Ovis aries: one gene and its partners. The protein of the gene in region 7 interacts with the protein of the main gene of each other region in a biochemical or structural test. Links are inferred from orthologs where the notes say so. Each region holds a gene or a part of one and is shown on either strand. Other genes may lie near its edges.

Region 1 (3,500 bases), on a different chromosome or scaffold from region 7:
TTCTTAAGGAAATGTGTATGATGGTAAATTATTTTTAAACATAGCAAACTTTTTCATGTTTATACTTTAAGGAACATAAAATTGACACACGAATTCTGAACTTAAAACAAGCACTCAAACTGTTTCTAAATTAGCTTGTGTATTACTTTATAGTCATATCACTTATCTAAATGTAGGAGTAGGAGAGTCTTCTAATACCTCTAAAAATAAAATCCAGCCAGTAAGTTCTGTAAATGTACAAAAACTGGCCCAGTTTCTTGTAATTGCTTAAATCAGACTAGCTAACTATCCTCTCTGAGCTCTTTTTAAGCTCACCTGAAGAAAAGCCGTCCCAACTTAAGTGTGTGTGTGTGTTGCCCAGTTGTGTCCAACTCTTTCCAACCCCATGGACTGGAGCCCACCAGGCTCCTCTGTCCCTGGAATTTTCCAGACAAGAATACTAGAGTGGATAGCCATTTCCTTCTCTAGGGGATCTCCCAACCAGGGACCAAACCCGGCTCTTCTGCACTGCAGGCAGATTCTTTACCATCTGAGCCACCAGGGAAGCCATTCCAACTTAAGGGTATTAATAATTCTCCATTCCAAATTGAACTTATGGTCTTCAGTCCTCAGCATTCAATACAGATACTTAATAAGCATTTAAAAATTTTGGATGTATAGTTACAGCTATATTTATACACATATATATATAGTAGATAGATAACTATGTAGTTATATGTAACCATATTATAACTATTGTGTTTTGTTTTTCCTTTTTATTTATAGAACGCTAGCTGTATCACAGATTAAATAGGTTGGTTTTTGGAGGGTGGTTTGTACTAGGCCTTGGTTGCAGCATGTGGGACCTAGAGATCAAACCCATAAAGTTGGAAATGGATATATTGATAAATACATCCATTGGGTGTGCCGAGTCTTAATTCTTAGACCACCAGGGAATTCCCTAAGTATTAAAATAGGTTTTTAAGAGGTACAGTAGGAATCTAAGCATGTTTTATGACATTGCTTTTGAAGAGTTAACTTGAGCAAACATATGGACACCACCAAAATTTTAAGTTATAATTTTGGTGTATGATTTGCAATAGGATTTGATGTATTTTAAACGTGAGGCTATAGTCAGAGAAAACGAGTCAGTGGGGTGGTGTGTGGGGGACAGAAACGATTCCTTCTCCACAGTGCCTAGACTGAGATATTAATAGCAATAGGAAAAAGCACTGCCATAGCCAGAGCTTATGGCTTTTTCTCCTGCCCTGCATCACTACTTTGACCTAGAATGCTAGTAGAGACCTTTTCCCGGAACTTGGAAAAGATCTTGCAACTTTAACAAAGAAGTATTCTACATTACTTTTCTACTGTATCACCAACCAACTTTGGAGCTCCTCTGGGCAATGATAGTGTTACTAATATTTAACTCAGTACCTAACATGTACTTGCTTTATAAATGGTTATTGGATGAAGAAAAGAATGAACTTAGCAACAGAATTAGCAATAATCTGTAATTTATAGTTACAGAGATGAGATTTTTCAGTTTTCTAAATAAGTATGTACTTGTCAAAACCAAAGTCCAACAAACATCTAGTCAAATTAATGATTTTTTTTTACATTAGTTCCAATACAGTATGCACTAAACACTTTAAGAAATGAATTTACCTTTCAGAACTAGATGGAGGCTTTTTCTTTACTACCTCTCTTGGTAATTTGAAAAAATCAAAGTGCTGTATTAAACCAGACAACTTGAAGTTTTAAAGATTGAAAATAAACTATTAAAAGTACTACTACTAAGGTGATATTTATGTGATAAGACTGAGTTATCCTTAATAAAGATAACATGTACATAAAAATTAAAATATGCCTGTCTATATATTGAAGGTTTTATAGAATTTTTTAAAAATACAAAACAAGACTACATGTAGGAGAGCAGTTAGAGTAGTACCTCACTTACCATACGCCATTCTCAACTAGATGAACAGAGCAAGGATCTATTATCATTATGTTGGGGTTCAGGGTAGGGAGCTGGTTCTTGAAAAGACAAAACATATAACAAAATCGATGTACTTGACACATAAAACAGTTCTTTACTGTTTACTGTTAATTTTAGATACAGATAGTTCAAGTTTGATAATCAGATCAATACTGAGGGCAAAACAGCTTAGTGGGAAGATCACTGGGAAGGAGAGTGGGTATTAGGAGACCTACAGTGTACTTCCATATTTGCAGCTAATTAGGAACAGAGCAAGTTACCTAACAGGCCTCAATTTTTTCATTTATAAAATATGTATTATATACGTGTATTATCTTGGGGACTAGAGCAAAGGTAAAATGAACTAATGAAGATGCAATGTTTTATAAACAGTGAAAGCATTATTCAAATGTGAAACTTATATTACAGTAGTCCCAAGAATATGTATGTATTAGATGGAATGAAAGGCCAATATTTAACTCTTTAACATCAATTTAGTTCTGTTCACTTATGTTTTATAAATAGGGTAATGAATAGTTCAGGAAATTTTGTTTTAAAAAATAAGCTTTGACTTTTAGGGCAATAAACTTTAGTATAATCAGGAAAACTCTTATGTATAACATATCCCTTAATGTTGGAAAATAGGCATTATATATTTTGTTTAAAAAGCTAATGGGATATTTTTAAAATAAATAAAACAACCATATTTTTTATTAAAAAATTGTTTGCAGAACTACTGCTCCTGAGGAAGAACTAAATCCAAAGATACTAGCTTTGCAGAATGCTCAGAGAAAGCGAAAAATTGAACATGATGGTTCACTTTTTCAAGCAGTAGGAATTGTAAGTGTGACAGCATGTTTGCTTTTCTATTCTAGCTGATGTGCTATTTTTGAGTTAGATATATAGGTAACTCCTTGTATCTTCCAAATACTAATGTTACATTCTCAGAAGTTACACGTTGGTTTCTTTCACTTTGTACATGTTCTTTTTTAAAAGTACAAACATTTAATGAGTACAGTCTCAAAAAATTCCAAACACTAGAGATGTACTTAGAGTAAGTATAGTTCTCCCCTCATTCCACACCCAGTATCATTACCAAGTCTCTTTCTCTTCCCTTTTGGTTACTTTCCCTTCTTACCCACAGAACACAGTCAGTGCTAGTATAACCCATACTGATATTTTCAGACCAGATTAACTGGAAAGCATTTTTATGTAGTTGTCATATGAGTGGCAAATGAATTCATCACAGCAGTATTAAAAAATAGAATTTAAATAACTGAGAGCAGTCTTTAAGAATCTTGCCTATGTATTGTTAGCAAATTTATACTGATTTCAAAGTCCGTGATTTAAAAAAAAAATTCAACATAGTAAAATTGAAATAATTTTACTGTTTTCAGGGAACATTATTACAGCAACCAGATGATCGTGCAACTACCACATCACTTTCTTGGAAACGTGTAAAAGGATGCAAATCTAGTGAACAGAATGGAATGGAGCAAAAGACAATTATTTTAATACCCTCTGGTTAGTTTACTCTTTCTTC
Region 2 (4,218 bases), on a different chromosome or scaffold from region 7:
CGGTTTAAAAAAAATCCTCTTTCTCAATTTTTCCCTTTTGCCGTTTGTTTGTTACCATAGCAACAACAATTACTTCAGCTCATCAGCCTCAGTCTCTACTGAGTGGTGTTTTTATTCAGTTATCTCTCCATCTTTAGCTGGTTTCGAGGCTCACTGCCAGTTCTTTTCTCTCATTTCATCATTCATGAGTTTCTGATTCATGTCCCAGTGATTTATTGTATGATTCTGAGCAATTTTTGCAGAAAAGGGAGTTAGTTGGGTCGTGTATTAGTCACAGACTCTTGTGGTTGCAAGTGACAAAACCCTACCTCAAATTGACTTCAGTTAAAAAGGAGAATAGATATTGTCTCACGCACTTGTGAAGTCCAGCCTTGGCTGAATCGTTAGACCGTGTCGTCAGGAAATTGGCTCCGTCCCTGGACCCTGCTTCCCCGTCCCAGCTTTACCCTAGAGGGTGGTTCTCAGGCTGTGGCGTGTTTGGCCCCAGTCCCATACCCCCTGCCCTGGCAACCTTGGCGGAAGGGAAGTGCCCCTTTCTAGTTGCTTCTGCAGAAGGCTGGGCTGAGTGCCATTGGCTTGGATCAGGTCTCACGCTCATCTTTTGAACCAACATCTGTGACTCTGACTGGAGATCCCTGGGTCACAAGCTTATTCCTGACTTGGGGGGTGGGGCCAAATGCTCTAAGTGTGTAGAAGGGAGAGTTCACCCCCCACAGAAAGAAAACTGGATTGTTGCTACCAGAAGGAGAAGGGGTCAATGTAGGCAGAAAACAACAGATGCCCATGTCTTCCAAGACCACAGATCTGCGCACTGTCGCCTCTAGAGGGACACTCAGGAAGACATCCAGCAAGCCCTCTAAGCAGGGGCTTAGGTCTTGGGCTTCCCTGCTGGCTCAGCTGGTAAAGAATCCGCCTGCAATGTGGGAGACCTGGGTTTGATCCCTGGGTTGGGAAGATCTCCGGAAGAAGGGAACAGCTATCCACTCAAGTATTCTGGCCTGCAGAAGTCCGTGGACTGTATGTATAGTCCATGGGGTCGCAAAGAGTCTGACGCGACTGAGCAACTTTCACTTAGGCTTGGATAGCGGCTTCCGTGGGCTCCTGGCTCTCCAGAGCCATGTTCTCAGGTTCTCAGCTCCCTGCTTCTGGAAATTTGTCGTTGTCAGTCTAGCTAGATGATTCTCCCCACCGGGCCTGGCTCGCGCCAGCCTGACTCGGCAGAGGCTGATGTGTATCTAAACCCCATCTCGGAGGGAACAGCAATTGCCAAAGGACCTGAGCAGGGCTGTCTCCTGGTCAGTGCACTTTCCCTGTCGAAGACCACAAGGGAAGCCAGACTCTCATCACAGGGTTGCTTAGCGACCACAGAACCAGGCAAGAGAAGTTCTCCGGAGAAAGTCAGTGACTTTAAAACGCCCACAGATGCTAGAAGAATGAGGAGACGACACGTTACCCGCAGAGAGACAGGTATGTGGCGAGGTTGGAGGGCAGAAAAGAGCTGAGAGCTGTCTGGTCTGTCTGGAGCACGGGGAGCGGGCAAAATCAGGGTGGAGGGCAGGCGCTGTCATACATCACTTACATCTCAGCTAAAAAGAAAATAAAACAGTGCTTTCCCAAAGTGTCAGATGCATATGAAACCACTAGGGATCTTGTTAAAATGCAGATCCTGAGTCAGTAGATCTGGGGTGGGGCCCAGGATATTGTGTTCCGAACAGACCCCCACCTGATGCTGGTCTGAAGGCCACACTTTGAGTAGCAGTGATTTCCAAAATACTGAAAAAACAGAATGTATAGGAGTTTGCAATGGGTCAGATGCAGGGAGGGGTTGGGAGTAAGGTAAGATGCATTGTGAGGAGCATCCCCAGACCTCAGCTGCAGGACCTGGGTGGTGGTAGGACCCAGAAGCCTGAGATGAGGGACAGGTCTGGGTGGGGTCGATAGTGATCAGAGATGACATATACCGAGCGGTCGAGTGGGCCTTGGAAAGCATCGCTAGAACAGAGCTAGTGGAGGTGATGGAATTCCAGTGGAGCTGTTTCAGATCCTGAAAGATGATGCTGTGAAAGTGCTGCACTCAATATGCCAGCAAATCTGAAAAACTCAGCAGTGGCCACAGGACTGGAAATGGTCAGTTTTCATTCCAATCCCAAAGAAAGGCAATGCCCAAGAATGCTCAAAGTATGGGACAATTACACTCATCTCACATGCTAGTAAAGTAATGCTCAAAATTCTCCAAGCCAGGCTTCAGCAATACGTGAACCGTGAACTTTCTGATGTTCAAGCTGGTTTTAGAAAAGGCAGAGGAACCAGAGATCAAATTGCCAACATCCCCTGGATGATCGAAAAAGCAAGAGCTTTCCAGAAAAACATCTATTTCTGCTTTATTGACTATGCCAAAGCCTTTGACTGTGTGGATCACAACAAACTGTGGGAAATTCTGAAAGAGATGGGAATACCAGACCACCTGACCTGCCTCTTGAGAAATCTGTATGCAGGTCAGGAAGCAACAGTTAGAACTGGACATGCAACAAACTGGTTCCAAATAGGAAAAGGAGTACGTCAAGGCTGTATATTGTCACCCTGCTTATTTAACTTATATGCAGAGTACATCATGAGAAACGCTGGGCTGGAAGAAGCACAAGCTGGAATCGAGATTGCCGGGAGAAATATCAATAACCTCAGATATGCAGATGACACCACCCTTATGGCAGAAAGTGAAGAGGAACTAAAAAGCCTCTTGAAGAAAGTGAAAGAGGAGAGTGAAAAAGTTGGCTTAAAGCTCAACATTCAGAAAACGAAGATCATGGCATCTGGTCCCATCACTTCATGGGAAATAGGTGGGGAAACAGTAGAAACAGTGTCAGACTTTATTTTGGGGGGCTCCAAAATCACTGCAGATGGTGACTGCAGCCATGAAATTAAAAGATGCTTACTCCTTGGAAGAAAAGTTATGACCAACCTAGATAGTATCTTCAAAAGCAGAGACATTACTTTGCTGACTAAGGTCCGTCTAGTCAAGGCTATGGTTTTTCCTGTGGTCATGTATGGATGTGAGCGTTGGACTGTGAAGAAAGCTGAGCGCCGAAGAATTGATGCTTTTGAACTGTGGTGTTGGAGAAGACTCTTGAGAGTCCCTTGGACAGCAAGGAGATCCAACCAGTCCATTCTGAAGGAGATCAACCCTGGGATTTCTTTGGCAGGAATGATGCTAAAGCTGAAGCTCCAGTACTTTGGCCACCTCATGTGAAGAGTTGACTCATTGGAAAAGACTCTGAAGCTGGGAGGGATTGGGGGCAGGAGGAGAAGGGGACGACCGAGGATGAGATGGCTGGAGGGCATCACGGACTCGATGGACGTGAGTCTGAGTGAGCTCCGGGAGTTGGTGATGGACAGGGAGGCCTGGCATGCTGCGATTCATGGGGTCGCAGAGTTGGACTCGCCTGAGCGACTGAGCTGAGCTGAGCTGAACTGATTAGGTGCCAGGAGCTTTGCATCTGTTGTCTTATTCTGTGCAATAGGGAGGTAAGTGCTGTTGTGATCTCTGTTTTAAGAGTGGGGAAACTGAGGCCAAAGTCATACAGGTAGTAAGCAGAAAAGCCAAGGTTCAAGCTCTACCTTGCGGTCTGAGTGCAGGGCTCCTGCGGGTAACCGTCGACAGTTTGGAAAACGTGGAGCCGAAGCCCCTGTAGGTTGTCTAATGGATAACCTACCCTCTCAGACTCCTGCCAACTTGTTCCCATTTTTATTTGGCATTTTATTATTACAGAGGAGACATCGGCAGAAAACCAGCTTTCAGCTTTTTAGTTTTCGGCTGTGCTTTGAAACATACAGGATCTTCGTTTCCCAGCCAGGGATCAAATCTGCGTCCCCTGCATTAGATGGTGCTCTTAACCACTGGACCACTAGGGAAGGCCCAGCTTTCAGCTTTTCAAATAGTCCTTTTTTTTTCTCTCTCTCTCTTAAATGATCAAATACTGTGTTTTTCTATCTCTGAGAATTCAGGACTTTTCCAGACTATTATTTTTTTAATTCATTAATTAACTTTTGGTTGTGCTGGGTCTTCCTGCTGTGTGAGTTTTCTCTAGGTGCTGAGAGTGGGGGTTACTCTTCCTTGCCATGTGCAGGCTTCTCATTGCAGAGGCTTCTCTTGTTGCAGAGCAGGCTCTACGGGCTTCAGCAGTTGCTGTGAATAGGCTCAGCTGCTCCACAGCGTGTGGG
Region 3 (4,144 bases), on a different chromosome or scaffold from region 7:
AGTGGTGTGGTGAGAGCTGACCCCCACCTCCCAACTCCCGGGCTGCACTCACATCATTGATGTCGATGTTCTTGTCCACGTCGACCACAAACTTGCCCTCCGGATGTACCTACAGAAGCAAGGGCGCATGACCGTCCCTGACAGTTACCAAATCACTAACCTCACCCAGAAGACCCATGAATCTTACACTAAGGTGAGAACAATGTCCTCACCGCGCACAACGGTACGGGAAAGCAGAGGCAGGTGGCTGGTGCCGGGTCCTGCTGCCTTTACCTTGACGAGCACTTTTTTCTTATCCATGGCCCGGACTACTTCCCCCACGTAGGAGCCCTGTTCCTGCAGCAGCTGTAGCTCCTCCCGCAGCAGGCGAACTAAATGGAAAGCAAGACACCATGATCAATCAGAAGTTTTGAAGGGAAGGACTCAAAGTCTAGAATTCATGTGTTTAAGGAGATTACAATGAAACTCAAGAGAGAATGAAGCAATGGGCACTTAGGTGAAGACTCGCTTCAAGGACACGGAACACTCAGAGCTCACACCAGTTGCCTCCATGCAGCCCTCCCATCTTTCCCTCCTCACCTTTTGCATTAAGCTCATTCCTCTGTGCCTGTAGCCTCCGAAGATTCTGGCTCTTATCATTCACAATCAGCTATTGGAGAACAAGAAGCAAAGGGTAGAAAACAGGAGGAGGTTAAAATCTTGGCCAAGACCCTCATAGGCTGATATGAGCTGAGTGAGGAAAGCACAGGGCACCTGCATTCCCCATTCAGATTCTCCAATATGACTTTAACCTTGACCCTGTCCTCCAAGAGCGCCTCTGGAGCAAAGGACCACCACGGGGGCGGGGTGGGGGGAGCTGTCTGTCTAAAACTGGTCTAGGAACCCTAATGGAGACAAGGTAACAGCTGATTAACATAGTTTCTCAGAGTGGGAACTTGGGTATTGAAGAAGATTTCTGAGTCAGAATCCTAAGTTCCAGCCCCATTGCTGGCAATCATCAGCTGAGTAAAGCCAATGAAAACCATGAGAAAGGTCTAGATCTGTTATAAAACCGAAAGTGGGTATAGCACCCCTATCCTGGCTCTTTTCAGGATTAACATAAGGAACAAATGAAAGCACATGTTGTTTAGTTGCTAACTTGTGTCTGACTCTTTGTGATCCCATGGACTGTAGCACACCAGACTTTCCTGTCCTTCACTATCTCTTGGAGTTTGCTCAAATTCATGTCTACTGAGTCAGTGATGCTATCCAACCATCTCACCCTCTGTCGCCTCCTTCTCCTCTTGCCCTCAGTCCTTCCCAACATCAGGGTCTTTTCCAATGAGTTGACTCTTCATGTTGGGTCAACAAAGTATTAGAGCTTCAGCATCAGTCCTTCCAATGAATATTCAGGGTTGATCTCCTTTAGGATTGACCTCCGTGCAGTCCAAAGCACTCTCAAGAGTTTTCCCCAGCACCACAATTCGAAAGCATCAGTTCTTCAGTGCTCAGCTTTCTTTATGGCTCAACTCTCACATCTGTACATGACTACTGGAGAAACTACAGCTTTGACTATATAGACCTTTGTCATACAGGTAAAGCATTTCAAAAATGACAAACCAAATAGGATACCCACAAATGTACCTGAAGTTCAGAATTTTCCCTTGTGGCGCGCCTCCATCCAGTTTACGTTATTTTCCTTATTTCTGTGGTCCTTGCTGCTTCTCTAGGCTAGAGCACTGGGCTGTTCAGTTTCATTTCATTCAGTCCGGTGGAATCAGCATTTTCCAGACTCCTGAATTCTTCTCTCACTCTGCCCCAACCCTTCTCTGATAAATGTCATTTCCTGACCCTGTGTCTTCTCTTCACAAGAAACTGTTTCATTTGGGTTTCTAAAAGGAACGACTTTTGGCTGGGGGGTACTTTTATGTTAAAATTTGACTCTTGAAGATGTGTAAGAAATTGTGAATATTAATTATCTTCAAAAAGATGGGGTTTCAGGGGAACATGAGACAGTTAATTTCATATATTTTATACTATTAACTTGTCATCAATACTAATTTTTCCACTGCATGGCAGTGGAATTACATGGATTTGTAGAGATCTGCTCATCCCCCTTCTAGTTCCCTCTGGACCTCTGAAGTCCGTTCTCACCTGGAGTTCTTCAATCTTGGACAGATAATATTGGCGGAGTCCACTGCCTGTCTTCCCCTCTTCCAGCTCCATCTGAGGACACAGTGTAATTATTAACCAAAAGGCTAAACATCCAAAGGATAAAACTATTTCCACGTTGACTTCGGAGATTCAAGATTTGTGTTCTCGTCCCTCACTCCATCTCTTCACAACCATTTCCTTAAGACTAAAACAGAATGAGAATGCCGCCTGCCTCTTAAGACTTTCAGGAGGATCAAGAAACAGCGCATCAGGGAACGCTACACAATCCCGAGATGTTATTTGTACAGGAGCAGCCAGCACGGGGCTCCCGAATCCCGCCAAGAGTGGGTTCCCGCTCCCGCGGTTCTCACCGCTCCCGCTGTTCTCACCGCTCCTCACTCAATCGGCTTCCACCCGGTCTTCCACTCCCGGCCCTGCCGTGACCCGCCGCGGGCGGCGCTGACACAGCAGATCCGGTCCCAGGCAGGGCCCAGTCTAGACTGGCCCACCCACCCCGGACGCCCCCGACCCGCTGGCCCCGGCCGGCTGCCCACCTCGGATCGCACCTGCTTCTCATCCAGCCCCGGTCCCCGCCCGGCCGCCGCCGCCATACCTGCTCTGGTCCGTCAAGCGCCATCTTCCCTCTTCCGCGGAGACCGCCGGCATCAGAGCCGCTTTGGCGCGCAGGCGCAAAGCCGGCGCTTGCGGGGTGGGGGGGTACCAAAGACTCGGGCAGAGAACAGTTCCGGGTCAGTGGGCGGGGTGTGAGGACGGACGGTAACAAATAACAAGGGACATGAGGGGAGGGACGGAGTTACCCTAGGTCAGGATCTTTGGTGTAAAAGGCACAGAACTCCTAAAGTTACTCTCTAGAAATTCGGTTTTGGCGGCATGCCAGCTTCCAACTTATAAAACCTGGGGAAGGATTACAGGGAAAATATTTGTGGCCACGCTCTAAATGGCGGAAAACTTGGAGCCGGGACGCGAGCGACGCAAGCGGAAACGGAAGTACGTTTGCTGCCCACATGTGCCTCTCCAAGGTGGAGAAAACGGTGCTGGTTGCAGGTGAGTGGTGTCGAGTAAGACTCCGAGTGTCTCCGCGACAGCGAGTGGGAAACGGAAGGCGGAATCTAGTGCTCCGGGAAGAGACGTTCCAACTTCTGCTTTCTCTCCCGCTTGAGTGGTGCCCCCACGTTACACCATGGGCAAAAAGAGCAAAGTCGGGAAGAGCCGGCGGGACAAGTTCTATCACTTGGCGAAGGAGACCGGTGAGTCAGGGTTCGTGCTGTCAGAGCAGGCGAGCCACCGACCTCGGTCGGTTCGCCCCGCTTTCCGAATATTGAGTTTCTTTTCCGCAGAAGGGGTAGTGGGTCGGGAGGCCGTAGAAATCGCGCTGGGAAAGCGCTTCGCGGACCTTGTTACAGAATTTTGTCGCCGCCTCCAGGTTACCGCTCCCGCTCTGCTTTCAAGCTGATCCAGCTGAATCGCCGCTTTCAATTTCTGCAAAAAGCCCGAGCATTGCTGGACCTGTGCGCTGCACCGGGTGGATGGTGGGTAACACCTGGCACCTGACGCTCCTTATGGAAACTTTCTGGGTTCCAGCCTTGGATGACTGAGAATTGACGTTGAGGGGCGGGAGGGATACAGTAATACCAGCCTCAAATTTCTGTACTCCCCAGAACTGTAAGCTTCAGGAGGGAAGATTTAGAACGTGTACATACGTTTGGCTGGTACTGGCCAGGGTTCTTCAGCTCCATTCAGTTGCTCAGTTGTGTCCGACTCTTTGACTTCTGCACACCTGGCCCCCCTGTCCATCACCGACTCATGGAGCTTGCTCAGACTCATGTCCATCGAGTTGGTGATGCCATCCAACTATCTCATCTTCTGTCGTCCCCTTCTCCTGCCTTCATTCTTTCCCAGACCAGGGTTCTTTGCCTTCCCCAATCAATAGAAATTGATTAGGGGCCAGACAGGAAATTCAGGCAAAGCTTTACTGGGGCCCCTGCTGCAG
Region 4 (4,168 bases), on a different chromosome or scaffold from region 7:
CTTCCAGTACAACTGACATTTCCATAGTATGTGGAGACTCTGGGACAATTCAAAAATACAGTTAAGTTCACTTAAGAGCTAAAAATGATGGTCCTTGTAAGGAGTCCCATACTACCAATGAGCTTATTTCATCCAACTAAAAGAGCTTTTTATGACAAAATACATAAGAGATTTAACTCTCATCTTAGTACCTCTGTCTACTTAGTTTTGGAATGATCTTAATTAAAATATCGTTAGACCATTAATGGGAAAATGAATTTGAGGAGCAGGTTATTAAGTTAAACCATCATTCATCTTGCATGATAGGAAGACAGTGGTTCTGTTAGAACAAGGTTAAAATCCAAACTCTGAGATAATATCTAGGATTTGTCATAAGAGTTTGCAGACCCCAAAGTCTAACATTTGCAAAGCATAATCCAGGCAACAATTAGAAGCAGGACTAACAAGTGTGCTAAAGAGGAAATCAGATTTGTCATGGGCAGTTGAAACATATTAACGGTACAATCAATGGGTGATTGGTAAAATTCATCTTTGGAGGCAATGAATGTCATCCATTATTATTTCAGCTCAAAGTTTACTTTGAGGTTAAAATTTGCTGTGAATTTTAAATAATACACAAATTACTGTTATTTCCAAAGCACTTCTCTGCTATACCCCTCGTTTATACAACTAAAACTGATATTGAATTCAGTGAGCTGTCCAGTGAACCCACAGTCTGATGGTAAAGTAGCACAAACTGTAGACAGAGCTGTCCATAGCAGTTACTCTGACTCACAGGAAGACAACTGTCTTTCTGATATCAGACAATCACTCAGACGGGTTTTACAGAAACAAATTTTAGAGCTGGACGGGATGTCGGCTATCTCAATATTTAAAGCTACATCCTCAGATGGCGTTCTCTGAAATGGTGTGAACAAAGTTAGTCTTAACTGAAATATATTCTCCCAACTAAGCAAATATTTTGAGGGTCAATTAAGTCTTTGGGATCTAATGAAATTGATGTGATTAGCAGTGTACCAACCCAACTCCAGTGTTCTTGCCTGGAGAATCCCAGGGACAGAGGAGCATGGTGGGCTGCCGCCTATGGGGTCGCACAGTCGGACATGACTGAAGCGACTTAGCAGCAGCAGCAGTGTACCAGAAGGAGCACGGGATTAGAATCTTTTTGGAGGTCACCAGGTCACAGATTAGCTGTGAGGCCTGAGATAAGTCACACCCTTTCTAAACTTGTTATGCCTAACTCATAATGTAGTAAGGCTCAAGTAAAATGTCTTAGAAGGAAAATATTAATCCGACCTATTTAACAATTACTTTTATTCAAGTTTTCTTTAAAACTTACCAAAACTACCATCCATTGGGTAATCAAGAGGTGCCAGTGGCTTTCTTGGTCCTGGTAAAGTAACAGCTGAATGAAAACCCAAGACATCTTCACTTTCTGATTTTTTAGATTCAGTTGGCCTCTTTTGAATCTCTTTTTCTGCTTCATCCACATGAATGGTAAATGCAGGCTGTTTACTGTTTGCTTTCCAGGGAGGAACAGTGACATGCTCATCATTTACAGGAAGATCCTTAAGAGGTGCAACCTACAATGAAATAATTAAATGCTTTGAGCCTATTAAGTGGAATTTTACTTTCATCCCCTTATACTGCTGAGTATAGTCCCAAACCCTCTTATCAGGAAAATTAAAACTTTTGGGGGCAAAGTTCAGGCAAGGAAATTTGAGTAGCTGGAGAAAGAAGAGATGCTTCAATTTGTCATAGGCATTCCTGTGACACCAAAGATTTCGGTCACACCAAATGGAATTATGCAAAACTAGGCCAGAGATGGCTGGAGTGGCAGGCCGAAAGATGCCAAATTTAACAGAGATGGCAAAAAACAAGTGGTTTTCCTTTTTCACCCTAGGGTGGAGCAACAGAGCAAATTCAGTAAGATGGCGGAATTGACCAATAGCAAAGCACTTTTCATACCTTCGCCCAAAGTAAAGGTAGTTTCTTTACCCATCCATATGGGGAAGACGAAGGTCGGAATAGTGCCTGGGTTTTAGAGCAGAAAGGCGTGGAGGCGGGCAAAGACCATACTCAACGTTGTGGGGCCTGGTTTGATCCCATTATCTATGGAAAAATACTCCCAATGGAAAGCTGAGAGGCAGCATGAAAGCACAGCGCTGTCAGGAACAGTATGGAAGAGTAACTAATGGGAGTAATGTGGCGTCCTACACTCTAGAAACCCAGGGATCAAGGAACTCCAGATCCTAGCCTCCCGCGAAAAGCCCAGGGAATGCTTTCTCGCCACTCTCCTCTGCCGGCTAAACCCGTGCAAAACCCCCGCTCGGCCCTCCCTCCTGAGGATATCGTTCATTGCTTTACCCGTCGCGTCTTAGGCCTCTGGGGCGCTGGACCCCGCGAGTTCCCGGCCCTCAGTACCGCCAGCCCAGCCCGGGTCCGGGGCTGCTGGGCGGGCGCCGACTTCTCGGGGTTGACGTTCTCCTGGTCCTCCTGGAACGCCGACTGCTGCAATGTTAGCGCCGAACCCGCCTCGCGGGCCGCAGGCCCGTGCGCGGAGCTGCCCAACATCTCTGCTCCCGGGGGCGCGGCGGGATCAGCCCGGCGCCAAGCAGCGTGCACTGAGTCCCGCACACCAGCCGAGGAACACTCCAGCCGTACCCGCCCGCCGCAGCCCGAGCCAGCCTGCCCGTCTGCTCGGAACCGTGCAGGACCGAGGAGACTGAGAAAGGCGGAGGCAAGAACTGCCGGGCGTGGAGGGACAAGGACGCCCCCGAAATGAAGCGAGCAGCCCGCCGGAGCTGCGGCTGTTCCCGCAGTTCAAGTATCCCGCGACTATTGAAATGGACCAATGAAAGGTGCCGGTCCCTGTGACGTCACTCGGGGCGACGCGGTCGCAGGCGAATGAAGGCGGCTGCGAAGGCACCCGAGCAGGGGCGGAGCGGGACGAAGAAACAGAGAACGGCGGCAGAAGGAAGGACGCCTGCGCCGGGCGGGGAGGCGGGGCCTAGGCTTATGGTGGCTTTAAATACCGCCGCTAAGCAGTTCCTGTCTTAGGCTAGGGGCGGCCGCTAGTACAAAGTGAGTTACACTTTAGCGATTATTAGTGGGCCGTACATAGAGTCTGACGGGTTAGTCCATGGGGTCACAGAGTCAAACATCACTTAAAGACCACACCATCACCACCCGGCCTTTAGCCACAGGACCTCCAGTTAGCTTGACTGAAGTTTCTCAAGGTCTAAAATCGGATCCGGCCATACTGGCCTGGTGGTCTTGTTCAAGTTACTCAATGTTCTGATTCTCAGTTTTCCTATCTGTTAACTGGGGTGATTATATCTACACGTTATAAGTTATCATTAGTATTAAATAACGTGCATAAATCATTTCATACGCTGCTTATGTAATTGATACTCAAGTGGATGACTATAGTGTCATCTTACCATTTTCGTGCTTATTCACAGTCTTATACTTTTTATTTTTCTTCATGAAGATGCAATTAAACTGCCACCTTGAATTACTGTTGATATACGTAACAAACTAATATACAAGAAATTCAACTAGTCAGCCATTAACCTTGGCTGTATGGCAGCCAACAAAAAGCACGGAGTGAAATTCCAGTGACCTAGATATAATTGTGTTCCATTTAGAAATGAAGGTTGTTTAAATATAGTAAAAAAAAAAAATATGACCTTATTAAAATAAAACTGATAGAAATACGTGCCTTTAGCAAATTTTCACATTTAATATATAACAAGGCTTGCACATAACTAATAAATATAATGGTATATAATTGAGCATTGTTGTTTCCCAACAAATTAATAAGTGTGCCCTTCTTGAAAACACAGAGAATAGTTTATTTTCTATTATAATCCTTATGCCACTTTAAAAAGCACAATCTTAAGTATAATATTCACCTGAATATGAATAAATATGAATTAAGATTGACAGTTATATTTCCCTCCATATATGATAAAAAAGGAAAATTAGTATTTATTAGTGCAGGAAAATCTAAGAAGCCATCACTATTTCTGTACTATTCATATGTAGTACATTTGTATGGCCCTACTGGTTACAGCACATCAAGTTAAAATCCCCCCAATCTGTGCAAGGTCTGATTTCCCTGGCCACAGTTTAAAGCAATGAGCCAACCCAAGTATTTAACAAA
Region 5 (3,446 bases), on a different chromosome or scaffold from region 7:
TTGCCTTCTCCTGGTTGGTGTATTCCTCTTCCTTCTCAGTTAATTTCTACTATCCCACAGCCTTAGGTCAGGCACCACCTTTTCCAGGAAGCTCTCCCTGATTTTCTCGTTTATTTGAGAGTTTCCTCCAGCAGATTCTGAGAGCTCCACAAAGGGAGGAACACGTCCCCAGAACCTGACACAGAATCAGCTGGTTGTAATTATCTGCTGCCTGTTTACAAATGTCCAGAAACATCTGGACGGAGCATAGCCAACTGATCAGGGTGGCCTCTCTGTGGCTGGAAAAAGGAATTCATTGCTTACTTTACTCAACCAGTTTTTTAATTAGGATTAAAAAAAGGTGATGAAAACGATTATTCTTGGGGCTGTGAGGCTCAAATAAAATGAAGCCAGGCAGGGACAGGGAAACGTAAAGTAGGGAATGGTCATCACACCAGCAACCTTGACCTCTCCCACCCACAGACCTGCTCCCAGTACAGAGTCCCCAAACAGGGCCCAAACACCATCAATATATTTATTAAAACCAAAGCAGAGGGAACAGAGCTGTTAGGAAGGCAAATCAAAGTGCAGATTGGAGGGTGGGGCAGAGCAAGAAGTAGGGTGGAGGGGGCACTTCAAACGCCACAGGAAGGGCCCCTGTGGTCTGGGCTGGGGGGGGGAGGCCCTTCACCCCACCCCTCCCGCCCACCCTGTCAGTGAAGGTCCCCCACTCACCTCTCCCATCTCACATCCATCCTGGGGGCAGCTGGGGCCCTGCAGGGACCCCGTCGGGAGGGACCACCCCCTCAATCCACCCATGGCTGTCAGTCAGTCAGTCTGTGTCTCCCTCCCTCGCTTTCCGAATAAATAAACCACTCAGGCCTCAGCTCCTTCGGAGTGGGGCAAAGAACAGCTCAAGGACCCCTGCCCTCACTCAGGGAGTAAGGGAGTTGCGGCACCAGTCCCACATCCCTCCTACCCTTTGCTGATGCCCCAAGCTTGCCAAAAAGGCCTTGATAAATAAATAACGCTCCATTAAAGCTTCAATCAGAAAAACCTTTAAGACGATAGAAGTGCTCTCGCTGTCCTGCCAACAAGCAGGCCAAGGCCTCGCCACCTGGCCTGGTCAGCACACAGGATTCTGGGGGCAGGTGGCCACCCTGGGCCTCATGGGGCCCCTGGAGCAAGAAGACCAAAAGTGCAGTTAGAGCCCCCACCACGCGCACACATGGACTCATGCACACACACGTGGACACACTGGGGCGTGTTTTCAGTGCACGCACAGATGTGTTCACCTTCATTCCCCGGGACATGCACACACACATGCTCACACACCACTCACCCCGTGGACACACACGTCGGGGCTTGGGTGCATGCACAAACACCACAAACAGAATTCTTCCCTTCCTGGCTTGCTCAGCCTCCTGGCAGGAGCCAGGCTCCAGAGCTAGAAGCCTCTGGAGGTAGGAGAGAGGGGCATAAATTAAATGTTTCCAATTAGGCTAGGACGGCCAGGGGCGGGGGGCTCCAGGGCTGCAGAGACGGGGTGGGCATCTCAGGAGGCCCTGGTCCCCCTGAGCCCCGTCAGAAATCCAGGGGAGTGAGGTCCCCAAAGTCACAGTCGAAGAGGTCTCTGATGCCCTCACCCTCCTCGAGGCCAAAGTGGTAGTCGAGGGCCTCGTGGGGGGGCGACAGGCTGATGAACTCCTCGGGGAGGAGGCCGGAGAAGTCCTCCTTCACGTGCTCCAGGAGTGAGTCGGCCGCCACGAGTGGGGACAGGCGGTCCTCGTCCACGGGGGCCCGCAGGCCACCCATCCGGGAAAGCAGAGGCTCTGGGGAGATGCAGGAGCATCACAGCCGGGGACACCCCCGGCAGGGAGGGGCTGACACACCTGCCCACCCACCTCGGGGAGGGGCCGGGCCCACCCTGCCCACCCGGCCTTCACCAACCTTGCTCCAGGCTGAGCAGGGACTGACTGGGATCCGTGGCAGGGGATGAGGGAGGTGACGACGGTGGTGGTGGCACCGCGGTGGCAAGGTCAGCTGCCCTCTCCTCCTCCCCCGAAGCTGCCCCCTGGGACGGGGTCTTTCCAGGGCTGGTTCCGCCCACACTCTCCTCAGGGCACAGGAAAACGTCGATGGGGCCTTGTTTGCTCTTAAGGGAGATCTGAAAGTTCTGGATGGAGGTAGCAGGCAGGGTAAACTGAGGCTCAGCTGGACTACCAGCCCAGCCCAGTCCAGTCCATCCTAGTCCCGTCTAGACTCCCAGGTCTCACCTCCGAGGAGTCCACGGCTTGGAGCTGGGTCTCAGGGGGGGCCTTGATCACCATGACCATCTGCTCTGCAGGGTCTGCAATGCTACGAAGGTCCTGGCAGGTCACATAGGCCAGGGTTGGTGGAGTCAAGGACCACATGATCTTTGGCCTTTGGGGGCCACCCACCCAGACAGCTCAGAAGGCAGAGCCCATCGCTGCCTAGTCACTCCTGTCCTCTGCATCACCCACTCCAAGGCCTGGCACATGGTTGGGGGTCAAGCAGATCTCATGCCCTTGAGCCTGCTTCTACATCTATACAATGAGATCACTCTACCTATTGAAGCTCAAGGTAATGACAGCTGCCTATAATCATTTCATAAAAATTACTTAAATCCAGGCATAGTCCTAAGAATTTATTCTGACCCATGACCTTGATGTCAATTAGTGTGTGTGTGTGTGTGTGTGTGTGTGTGTGTGTAAGTGTTAAATTCTCAGTCATGTCTGACTCTATGACCTCATGGACTATAGTCCACCAGGCTCCTCTGTCCATGGAATTCTCCAGGCAAGAATACTGGAATGGGTTGCCATTCTCTTTTCCAGGGAATCCTCCTGACCCAGGGATCAAACCCGGGTCTCCCACACTGCAGGCAGATTCTTTACCGTCTGAGCCGTTATCTCCAAAATGTATAAACATAACTTCTTTCAAAATAAAGTTTATATTTTTGCAAATAAAAGCAACTCTAACCTTGAAGCTACAACCAGGTATTAAATCCCTGTATTAAATAAATGTTATCCCTGTGTTAAATAAACCAGTTATTACTGATATTAGCTTTTCTGGTTTTAATCCGAAAAGCTTTGAAGTAGGATTGTTTTTCCCCTTTTCCAGAGGAAGCTGAGACTCAGAGAGGTTAAGTAACTTGTCCAGTGTCACACTGGGAGTGAATGCTGAGCCAGGACCGGTATCCAAAGCCAGAACTCTTTCCTGAATCCAGGGCCCAAGGTAAGGCCCTCCACTCCCACTTAGATGGGGCCCTGGTGACCCTCCAGGCAGTTCAAGGATATCGCTGGCTGTCCGCATCCTCGGAGAGCAGACGCAGCTGGGTGCTGCAGATGTGGAGCAGGTGATCCAGCTGCTGCTCGCTCTCCTGCAGTTGCTGGAGGTCCTGGGTCAATCCTTCAAGCCGCCCACCGATCCCCACCGTTGCATGGTTG
Region 6 (4,216 bases), on a different chromosome or scaffold from region 7:
TCATCAAGGACAAGGTAGGTGGTTCTTCTTAGATTGGTTTTCCCACATTCTAAAAAGTCTATCAGTCTTCCAGGTGTTGCAATACAGATTTCCACACCTTTAATTAAACACACAAAAGTTACCATGACATCCAGAACTTCCTGCATGATCAGTGACAAATAAAACCTTTTTGGTTACATACCTCTCTCCAAATCACGTATTTGTGGTCCCTTGGGAGCACCACCATAAATGCAAGTAGACTTCAAGCGACATGCTCTACAGTATTCAGCAGCTACTTGCTGCACCTGTTGGGCCAGTTCCCGAGTAGGTGCCAGCACCAAGCACTAAGGAAAGAGAAAGTGGAACACCTTTAGGAGACCCCTGAATTCTAGTTTTGAAGTGCTAATTTACTGTTGCTACACTAGCAGATGATATACATTGTCAATACCCAAAGCAGCTTTGTCCCTTCCTACACTGAAAAACATAACCTTCCATATAAAACCACCAGAATTTTCTTTTGCTGTATATTCTACAAATCTCTACGCTGTTAACCAAGTTAAGAGAATACAATGTACACTTACAATAGGCCCATCACCTCTCTCTAGGAATGGTTGATGATTGATGTGGACAATGGCAGGCAGCAAATACTATACAAAAGAAAAGCAAACAAAAAAAGCCATATTAAAAACACTTCTGGTTTCTTTTAATTCCCAACCCATTTTTCTTCAGGACCTGTCACCTAACTCAAAGTTTCCCAAACTTACAGACAAAGTCTTCCCAGATCCAGTTTGTGCTACCCCAACCATATCCAATCCACTCAGAGCAACCGGCCATCCCTGAGCTTGAATAGCTGTGGGTTCAGTGAAGTTCTGCCTTGCAATCACATCCATGACATTTGCTGTAATGTTAAGAATTAAGTAAACGTCAATAATGCCATGAGAAAGGGATTTTTTTTTTTAAGGTGGGGAAAACTAGCACTTACCAGGGAAGTTTGCCTCATAAAAATTCAGGACTGGCTTTGGGCAGTTATGACCTCTAACTGTAATTTCCTTGCTTCTTCTGTATGTCTCCACCTCTTGCTACAAAAGAAATTTATAAAATTCAGTTATCTCACGAGGACTCCCCCTAACTAAACACACGACCAACACACCCCTAAGTTAATAATTATCAACATTAACATTCCTTTAAGTTTGCAAGACATTTCTAGTCAAACTTAAATGTCACTGAGTTACAAGCTGAAAAAACCACATGAAATTACTCACTGCTGTACGCCTAGCCAAATCGGGGTGTTCTTGATAAAAATTCTTCTCAAACTTGGGCAGCTCATCAAGATTCCACTTCTTTTTAACCAGTTTCTCTCCAGGGTTTCCAAACTTCTTTCCAGATAAGGGCCCTGCCCTACTACCTCCAAATCGAGGAGCACCAAACCTAAAATTTGAGGGGAAAAAAAATTGCATTTTCAAACATGTACAGACTTATTTTACCATCCCTGCGCACATGCTAAAACTCAATGAAAGATTCTGGAGATGCAAGTGCTGTCCTCAGTGATGGTCATTCTTTCAAAAGCCAGTTAGTACTACATCTCCCTCATTTCCCGTTACACGAAGTACACACCATTGAAAACAAATCAACAGCCCGGGATTTACTAGGTTGGAAACTGGCTGGCCAAGCTCTAGGAGTTCAGATACAAGGACAAACAACAGCTGGTGGATACTACTCTTTCACACAAGCGAAAGAATTAAATGCCAAAAAAAAATAAAGCAGAAGCTTAACACAGATGTTACTTAGCACCTGTCCTGAACCAAGAGCTCTGATTTTAATAGGTAGCGGAACAACACAGGTAAGTGAGTGCAGAACACGGCGGGTGGCTCGGGGACAGTTAGGCAAGCCAATCGAGTTGGGGGGATCCCTCAAAACGGTTTCCTACCAAGGTAGCAAAATTATATAACGAAAGGAAAACGAGGAGGAGGAGCCGGAGACTACCGGGGGAGGAGTCCCGGCCCGGGCGGAGTCCTTCGGGCGGCGTTCCCGCTGGGGCGGCGCTTCCCCCTTTGTCTCGCATTTCTCTCTGCGCCACATTTTCTCGACGCTGCCATTTTGAGCTCCTCCGCCGGGCGGGGTAACAAAGGCGCCGCCGCCATGTCCGCCGCCGGCATTTTGTACCCACGGCTCGGCCACATGGCCGATTCCCGCGGCACCGGCCACCCTCCAACCCTCGCCGCATTAACGGCTTCGGAGGCGGCCCCCTCGGCACCCACAGAACCCCCAGATTCCTTAAAATTCCTGTAAGCTTACACCTAATAGTGGCGACTTCGCCTCAAAGCGCTGCGCTTTCCTCCCCTCAAAAAATGTGCTCGAAATTCTCCGAACAGTTGCCAAATCATCAAGGCCCCGATACCCCCTCCAAAACAAAAAAGAATCTTGAGGACCGTTAACATGAAAAGTCCAGGTTTGGACAAATAACAAAATGGCGCAAGCCCTTTTCGATGGCGGAGGCCCGAGAATAGTCTTTAGAAGCCGAGTTGCCCCCGCCACCCCACCCCCGCAACCCTCATCGGTCTCCCATCCCCCACCCGCCGGGCCTGACAGGTCGGTTCCCACACTCACCCTCGATCCCGGCCACGGTCTCGGTCACTCGAATAACCCGACATGGCGTCAATGGTTGCGGTTGGCGGGAAGCGAAGCGGAGAGAATCGGGTGCGACGAGTCGCTGGAGGTGGCTCCGGCGACGGCAAAGCCTTGCGGGGGCGGCAGCGGCGGAGGGACGACGATGACAGAAGCCAAGGCTGCCCAACAAGAGACCGGTGGAAATGAATGAGGTGCCGGCCGCGTCCCGGCAGCCGGTTTTATAGCCTGGCCCGCCTCCTCCGCCGCAGAGAATGCTGGGAGCCGCTCTATGACCTAATCACTCCGCCCCTGCGCAGAGCTATTAACGCCTGCCGGCGTTCCGGGATCCGCCATTTTCTCGCCCCTCCCCCCGGGCCCTTTGCCGACTTTTCGCCCCTTTCAAGGATAGGACCCGCCCCCACCCCGCGGTCCTCCACTGGGATGCCTAAGCCTGCACTCTCTTGACTTCACCTTTTTCTGGTCTTTCACACTTCAGGGAAACCACTGCGCCCTTTTCCAGGTCTAGCCCAGACAATAAAATGTCCAGCCCAGGTCAACTCCCTCGGTCCCCTTGAAGATGTTTACGTCTCCAAAGAGCCTTTACACCCATTACTAGGGGCGACAGGAAGGCGGAGCCTGACATTGTCACGTGGCTGCCCCGCCCGCCGAGTGAGCGGGACGCACTACTTCCCCAGTTGGCGTCGGCGGAGGAGTACAAGACGAAATAGCTCACCGGAAGTGCCGTGCTAATGCCCTCGGGAAATCGGCCGGGGCTGTTGGGCGACCCGAACTGTCAAACCCACCCACCCCAGGACCCCTGAGCGGGGTCTGGCTGGTGAAAAATGGTATCTAGAGTTCGCAAACCGCCACCTCGGCACGTGCCGCCAAAGGAAGTACTCCCGCGGTGACCAATCAGCAGCGAGAAGCCGTTTTAACGTCCCTCCCTCCTTCACCGCACCCCTTCCCGGCACTTTCGTTTGCTTCCTCTCCTGTCAGCCCTGGGTCTGCGCCGTGCGGCCCTTTCAGGACGCCGTCCCGCGCGCGCCCGGCTAGGAGTCCGGCGGCGACTTGCCTCCGCGACATGGCCGGCTCAGAGGCTGGTGAGTCTCTGCGTGGAGCCCCGTTTGTGTGTGGGCTCAAGTACCTTTTCAGTCCAAGTCCTGAACGCCCCTCCCCATCTTATCTTGAGGCTTCGGGTGGGTGTGGGCTGCCGGCGGGGCTCGTGAGACAACCCGGTCGTAGTTGGCGGGTTCTCTGGCTGGGGCTTCTTAGTCCCGCTCCCTGGCGCATTCGAAGTTGTCGAGCCTGATTTGGGGCGGGGAGACAAGGGCCCTGCGGCGAGGCCCGCAGCACGCGAGCATGGTGGCTGTAAATGATCAGAAAGTGTCTTTCCCTAGACTAGTATTTTCTAGGGAGTGTGCCCTCTGCTCCTGCACTGCGGAGCCTGAGGCTGAGTATTAGCACTCTAAAAATCTATTGTCATCCCAAAGCGGAATAGTGGTGGATTTTCCCGCTTCAGAGCTTCCTACGGTTACCGGCTTTCTGTAGCGCAGTTTTTGAAAAGAGAGTTGATTGGGTTGTCTAGGACGCTTTCATCTTTTTTTCCAAGACAGCGTTCAAACCGGTTGTC
Region 7 (3,500 bases):
CCTATTGCCTCAGCTGCCTCCATCCCTGCCGGCACAGTCACTGTGAATGCTGCTCAGCTCTCCTCCATGCCTGGCCTCCAGACCATTAACCTCAGTGCATTGGGTGCTTCAGGAATCCAGGTCCACCAGCTTCCAAGCCTGCCCTTGGCGATAGCAAATGCCTCAGGTAAGACTTGAAATCTTGTGCATTTATCTCTAGAGCTACTTAGCATCTCAGCTGAAACCACTGAGTCTAAAGAAGAGGGAGTAGAATCTTTTGAGGGCAGTGCTTCTGAGGGCAAGTCATTTAGAGAAATAGCAATGATTTTAAGTCATTTGGAGCTGACTTAATAAGAACTTTTTCCTCTTCAGTTAATCTGTCCAGAAAGGAGCATTTCTGGGCAGTGTCCTTGGGGTCTGTACTTTCAGTGCCTGGTACTACAGTACAAGAGTGGGCAAACTTTTTCTTTAAAGGGCCAGATAGTAAATATTTTAGGCCTTGTGGGCCACATAAGTTCTCAGTTATGTGTACTTTTTTGTTTCTGCAACCTTTTAAAAATATAAAATATTCTTACCTTGAGGGCTTTATTTGGCTTGAGGGTTCTTCTCTGCTGATAGGAATGGATTATAAACTTATCTGTAGGGTAGTTATTAAATCATCAGATATTTCTCACAAACTGTGAGAAAGCAGGGGAAAGCAGGGGAAAACTGATGGATTCCAAAGGACTTCAACAAACTAAGTTCCCTGGTTAATCTTTTAGTTAACCAGAAGAGCTACCCTTTGAGGTTTAATTTTTTCAACTCCTACTTAGCTTGAAAGTATTAATGTGTATTTTTAATAAGCTTCCTAGGTGATTTTCTTCTGTTTTGTTTCTTAAGCCTCCTAGGTAGTGATTCTAATACTTTCTAGATTAGAGAGCCACTTTCTAGACTGCTTTGAAACTAGTGTATGGTTGAAAGGTAGGAGAGAACAGAAGTGGGGCACAGAGTGGAGTGGGGAGATGGAATTGAGAGGAATTAGAAGTAAGAACTTTGAGGGGGAAAGAGAATTGTCAAGGAAGGGGATGTATATATTGGAATGTATGTTGAATCAGTTGACACTACTATTCAGTCATTTATTTTAAACTGTATTTTACTAGTATTGGTTAATTTGAAATTTAAAACCTCTATTTAAAACGGTGAGAATTTATTTAGAGTTTATCATTTTAAATTTCATGGTGATAGAACTAATCTTTAATGAAGCACGTTAGGATACATATGCATCTTTATATTCTGGCATGATATATAGAAATTATGATGAGAAGTTTAATACCACTGAACTTCTACTTCTGTTGGTGTATCTGTGGATTTGTTAATTGTTTACTTTTATTATAGAGTTCTCATTCTGTTTAGATTGGTTCTTATGTAAGAGAGGGTAACAAATAGGCAACCATATTTCCTGCTTCCTGCAGCTTAGGAAAATCTGTGGTGGGGAGTTCTGCTCAAGTTCACTGCTTTCTTACAGTCTTGTATGTTTAAAATTACTACATTTTGAGCCTTAACAGACAGAAATTTTGTTAGTGAATTGGAATTTTTAAAATAGAAGGTTAGAGCTGAAAGAGACCTTAGGAATCATCTCATACTCCTGCCTTATTTTCCCGATAAGGACTTTGAGATACTGGAAGCACGTATGTTATGAGACTACTCACTGTTAGTTCTAGTCTGGCGCATCCATTACCTATTAATTTTAACTTGGGACAAGAGATGTCATGTTTCAACTTGGGACATGCTTTAAATTGTTAAAAATCTTTTGGAAAATATATCTTTTGTTAGTTTGGAATTTAAGGCTAGAGAGCTGGCAAGTGTTTATAGACTAAAAATTATGTGAGTAGAAATAGGAAGAGTTTATAAAAACTGAACCTAACAGCTTTGAAAATTAGACACTTTCTGGGCAACCTACGTTTGTGTGTTTGTTTTCTCTTTGGTCTCAAGTTATTGAGATTGTTGCAGATAGTATTAATTTGGATCCTTGCAGTGTGTAAACGGTTGATAACTTGAGCTCCAAGGAACAGTTATGAGACACTTTCATTGCTAAATCATGGTCTGGGGAAGTCTGCCATTTACTTTGTCATAGGATAGGGCTACCTTCCTAGCTGTTATTGATGGTCTCTGAGCTCTAGAAAACGCATGCCTTTCTATAAGATAGTAGCAGCTTGACATTCACTAAGAAGAGAATGAAGCTCTGAAAGGCCATTTTGTGAGAGTTGAGATTGCTTTGTTAATAGTGGTTTTGAAGATATGTGTTTCCTCCTTTCTGGTTAGTCATAGTTGTGCAACATGTTTTCCCCTTCAATTGATCTGACTTCAGCCTTAATGAAAGATAATGCAGTCATTTCCTGGAAGCTTAGTGCTCTTTAGCTGTTGCCTGGCTGCTACAAAGTCTCTCATTTTACCCCTTTTTCTGGTATATAGTTATTTTATTAGAAAAATTCAGCCTCTTGGCAGTATGATGTAGTGGAAAGAGCGATTAATATGAGCTCATGTTGTAAGATAGGTAAGTAGATAGCATTCTGCAAAGGGAGCCATTATTTTTAAATGGTTGTGGAAGACTGCAGCTTCTGTGTCACTTAATAGATTTAGTCTTTTTTTTTTTGGCCCTACCGCATGGCTTCTTGTAGGATCCTAGTTCCCTAAATAGGGATTGAACCCTTACACCCCCACCTCCCACCTCTAGCAGTGAAATTGAAGAGTCCCAGCCACTGGACGGCCAGGGAATTTCCACATTTATTATTTTTAAAAGTCATCTTTTAAAACTTTTCTAAGTTCTCTTGTTGACTTTTATTATATTTATTTGTTAGTTTGAATATACAGGCAAAGGCACAAACTTAGACCCCAAATCAGCCACCCATCTCTGTATTCCTGTTTTTCACAGTTCTGCCACTGGTGGGTGATAGTGAAGTAGGGACCACCCGTGGAATGATCTATTGGCTCTTAGTTTTTGTTGTTATTTTTTAAGTGAGCAGCTTTTCCTTTTTTAAAAAATTAACACCCTGTCCCCTTTATCCTTGTATCAACACTCTTTTCCTCTCATTTGGTAGTTATACGCTCTGATCTCGGTTCTAGGTTTTTTGTGTTTTTTTTTTTTTTAAGCTTCAAGCTTCAGACTTTTTTCTCAGCCCTGGCTAAGTTCAAAAAACTCTTCCCCAAGGTTGAGGAGGGGCCAGTTTTGAAAGACTTAGTTTGGATGACTTCGTGGGAGTTCTGCCTAACAAAGAGTGCGGGACTGGGCTTTGGCAAGAGAATAAAACATATTTCCTTGATAGCTATAATTGACTCATGAAGCAAATTTCAGACACTAAAAATAAAAATTTCACATCTGCTTAGTTTTATTGGGGTCAGGAAAATGTCTCCTCTTAGAAGTTAAGTTGAATGCGATACCAGAGTTGGTCTGCCAACAGTGTCGCTAAACTTGGGGTCAGATTGCTGAGACCTATTTTGTTAACAGAGTTGTATTTTAGACTAGTTCATTTGAACATAAGTGT

What was found.
Region 1: the proteins of SP1 (region 7) and HIF1A form a complex in vitro, tested with the Homo sapiens proteins (2 studies listed by BioGRID). The link is inferred for Ovis aries from reciprocal best matches to the Homo sapiens genes SP1 and HIF1A.
Region 2: of the proteins of SP1 (region 7) and MAPK1, one has a biochemical effect on the other in vitro, tested with the Homo sapiens proteins (2 studies listed by BioGRID). The link is inferred for Ovis aries from reciprocal best matches to the Homo sapiens genes SP1 and MAPK1.
Region 3: the proteins of SP1 (region 7) and PSMC5 form a complex in vitro, tested with the Homo sapiens proteins (2 studies listed by BioGRID). The link is inferred for Ovis aries from reciprocal best matches to the Homo sapiens genes SP1 and PSMC5.
Region 4: the proteins of SP1 (region 7) and CCNA2 form a complex in vitro, tested with the Homo sapiens proteins (2 studies listed by BioGRID). The link is inferred for Ovis aries from reciprocal best matches to the Homo sapiens genes SP1 and CCNA2.
Region 5: the proteins of SP1 (region 7) and E2F1 form a complex in vitro, tested with the Homo sapiens proteins (4 studies listed by BioGRID and IntAct). The link is inferred for Ovis aries from reciprocal best matches to the Homo sapiens genes SP1 and E2F1.
Region 6: the proteins of SP1 (region 7) and DDX5 form a complex in vitro, tested with the Homo sapiens proteins (2 studies listed by BioGRID). The link is inferred for Ovis aries from reciprocal best matches to the Homo sapiens genes SP1 and DDX5.

Annotation. Positions count from the first base shown.
Region 1 is NC_056060.1:71,952,513-71,956,012, forward strand, and holds part of HIF1A (hypoxia-inducible factor 1-alpha), read left to right. Parts: intron 1-2,688; coding exon 2,689-2,797; intron 2,798-3,354; coding exon 3,355-3,481; exon of another isoform or gene 3,482-3,500.
Region 2 is NC_056070.1:72,034,375-72,038,592, forward strand, and holds the start of MAPK1 (mitogen-activated protein kinase 1), read left to right. Parts: upstream 1-1,418; 5' UTR 1,419-1,433; coding exon 1,434-1,467; intron 1,468-4,218. UniProt on the Homo sapiens protein: Serine/threonine kinase which acts as an essential component of the MAP kinase signal transduction pathway. MAPK1/ERK2 and MAPK3/ERK1 are the 2 MAPKs which play an important role in the MAPK/ERK cascade.
Region 3 is NC_056064.1:47,802,286-47,806,429, reverse strand, and holds the start of PSMC5 (26S proteasome regulatory subunit 8), read right to left. Parts: upstream 2,801-4,144; 5' UTR 2,771-2,800; coding exon 2,747-2,770; intron 2,206-2,746; coding exon 2,134-2,205; intron 650-2,133; coding exon 580-649; intron 372-579; coding exon 274-371; intron 110-273; coding exon 53-109; intron 1-52. Other genes in the region: pre-rRNA 2'-O-ribose RNA methyltransferase FTSJ3, read left to right, coding at 3,335-3,401, 3,578-3,683.
Region 4 is NC_056059.1:3,751,323-3,755,490, reverse strand, and holds the start of CCNA2 (cyclin-A2), read right to left. Parts: upstream 2,801-4,168; 5' UTR 2,575-2,800; coding exon 2,368-2,574; intron 1,584-2,367; coding exon 1,340-1,583; intron 40-1,339; coding exon 1-39. UniProt on the Homo sapiens protein: Cyclin which controls both the G1/S and the G2/M transition phases of the cell cycle. Functions through the formation of specific serine/threonine protein kinase holoenzyme complexes with the cyclin-dependent protein kinases CDK1 or CDK2.
Region 5 is NC_056066.1:63,133,772-63,137,217, forward strand, and holds the end of E2F1 (transcription factor E2F1), read right to left. Parts: coding exon 3,297-3,446; intron 2,371-3,296; coding exon 2,256-2,370; intron 2,156-2,255; coding exon 1,930-2,155; intron 1,812-1,929; coding exon 1,564-1,811; 3' UTR 501-1,563; downstream 1-500. UniProt on the Homo sapiens protein: Transcription activator that binds DNA cooperatively with DP proteins through the E2 recognition site, 5'-TTTC[CG]CGC-3' found in the promoter region of a number of genes whose products are involved in cell cycle regulation or in DNA replication.
Region 6 is NC_056064.1:48,409,333-48,413,548, forward strand, and holds the start of DDX5 (probable ATP-dependent RNA helicase DDX5), read right to left. Parts: upstream 2,801-4,216; 5' UTR 2,631-2,800; coding exon 2,587-2,630; intron 1,408-2,586; coding exon 1,242-1,407; intron 1,059-1,241; coding exon 962-1,058; intron 878-961; coding exon 744-877; intron 627-743; coding exon 561-626; intron 324-560; coding exon 182-323; intron 98-181; coding exon 1-97. Other genes in the region: CEP95 (centrosomal protein of 95 kDa), read left to right, coding at 3,668-3,686. UniProt on the Homo sapiens protein: Involved in the alternative regulation of pre-mRNA splicing; its RNA helicase activity is necessary for increasing tau exon 10 inclusion and occurs in a RBM4-dependent manner. Binds to the tau pre-mRNA in the stem-loop region downstream of exon 10.
Region 7 is NC_056056.1:133,122,313-133,125,812, reverse strand, and holds part of SP1 (transcription factor Sp1), read left to right. Parts: coding exon 1-166; intron 167-3,500. UniProt on the Homo sapiens protein: Transcription factor that can activate or repress transcription in response to physiological and pathological stimuli.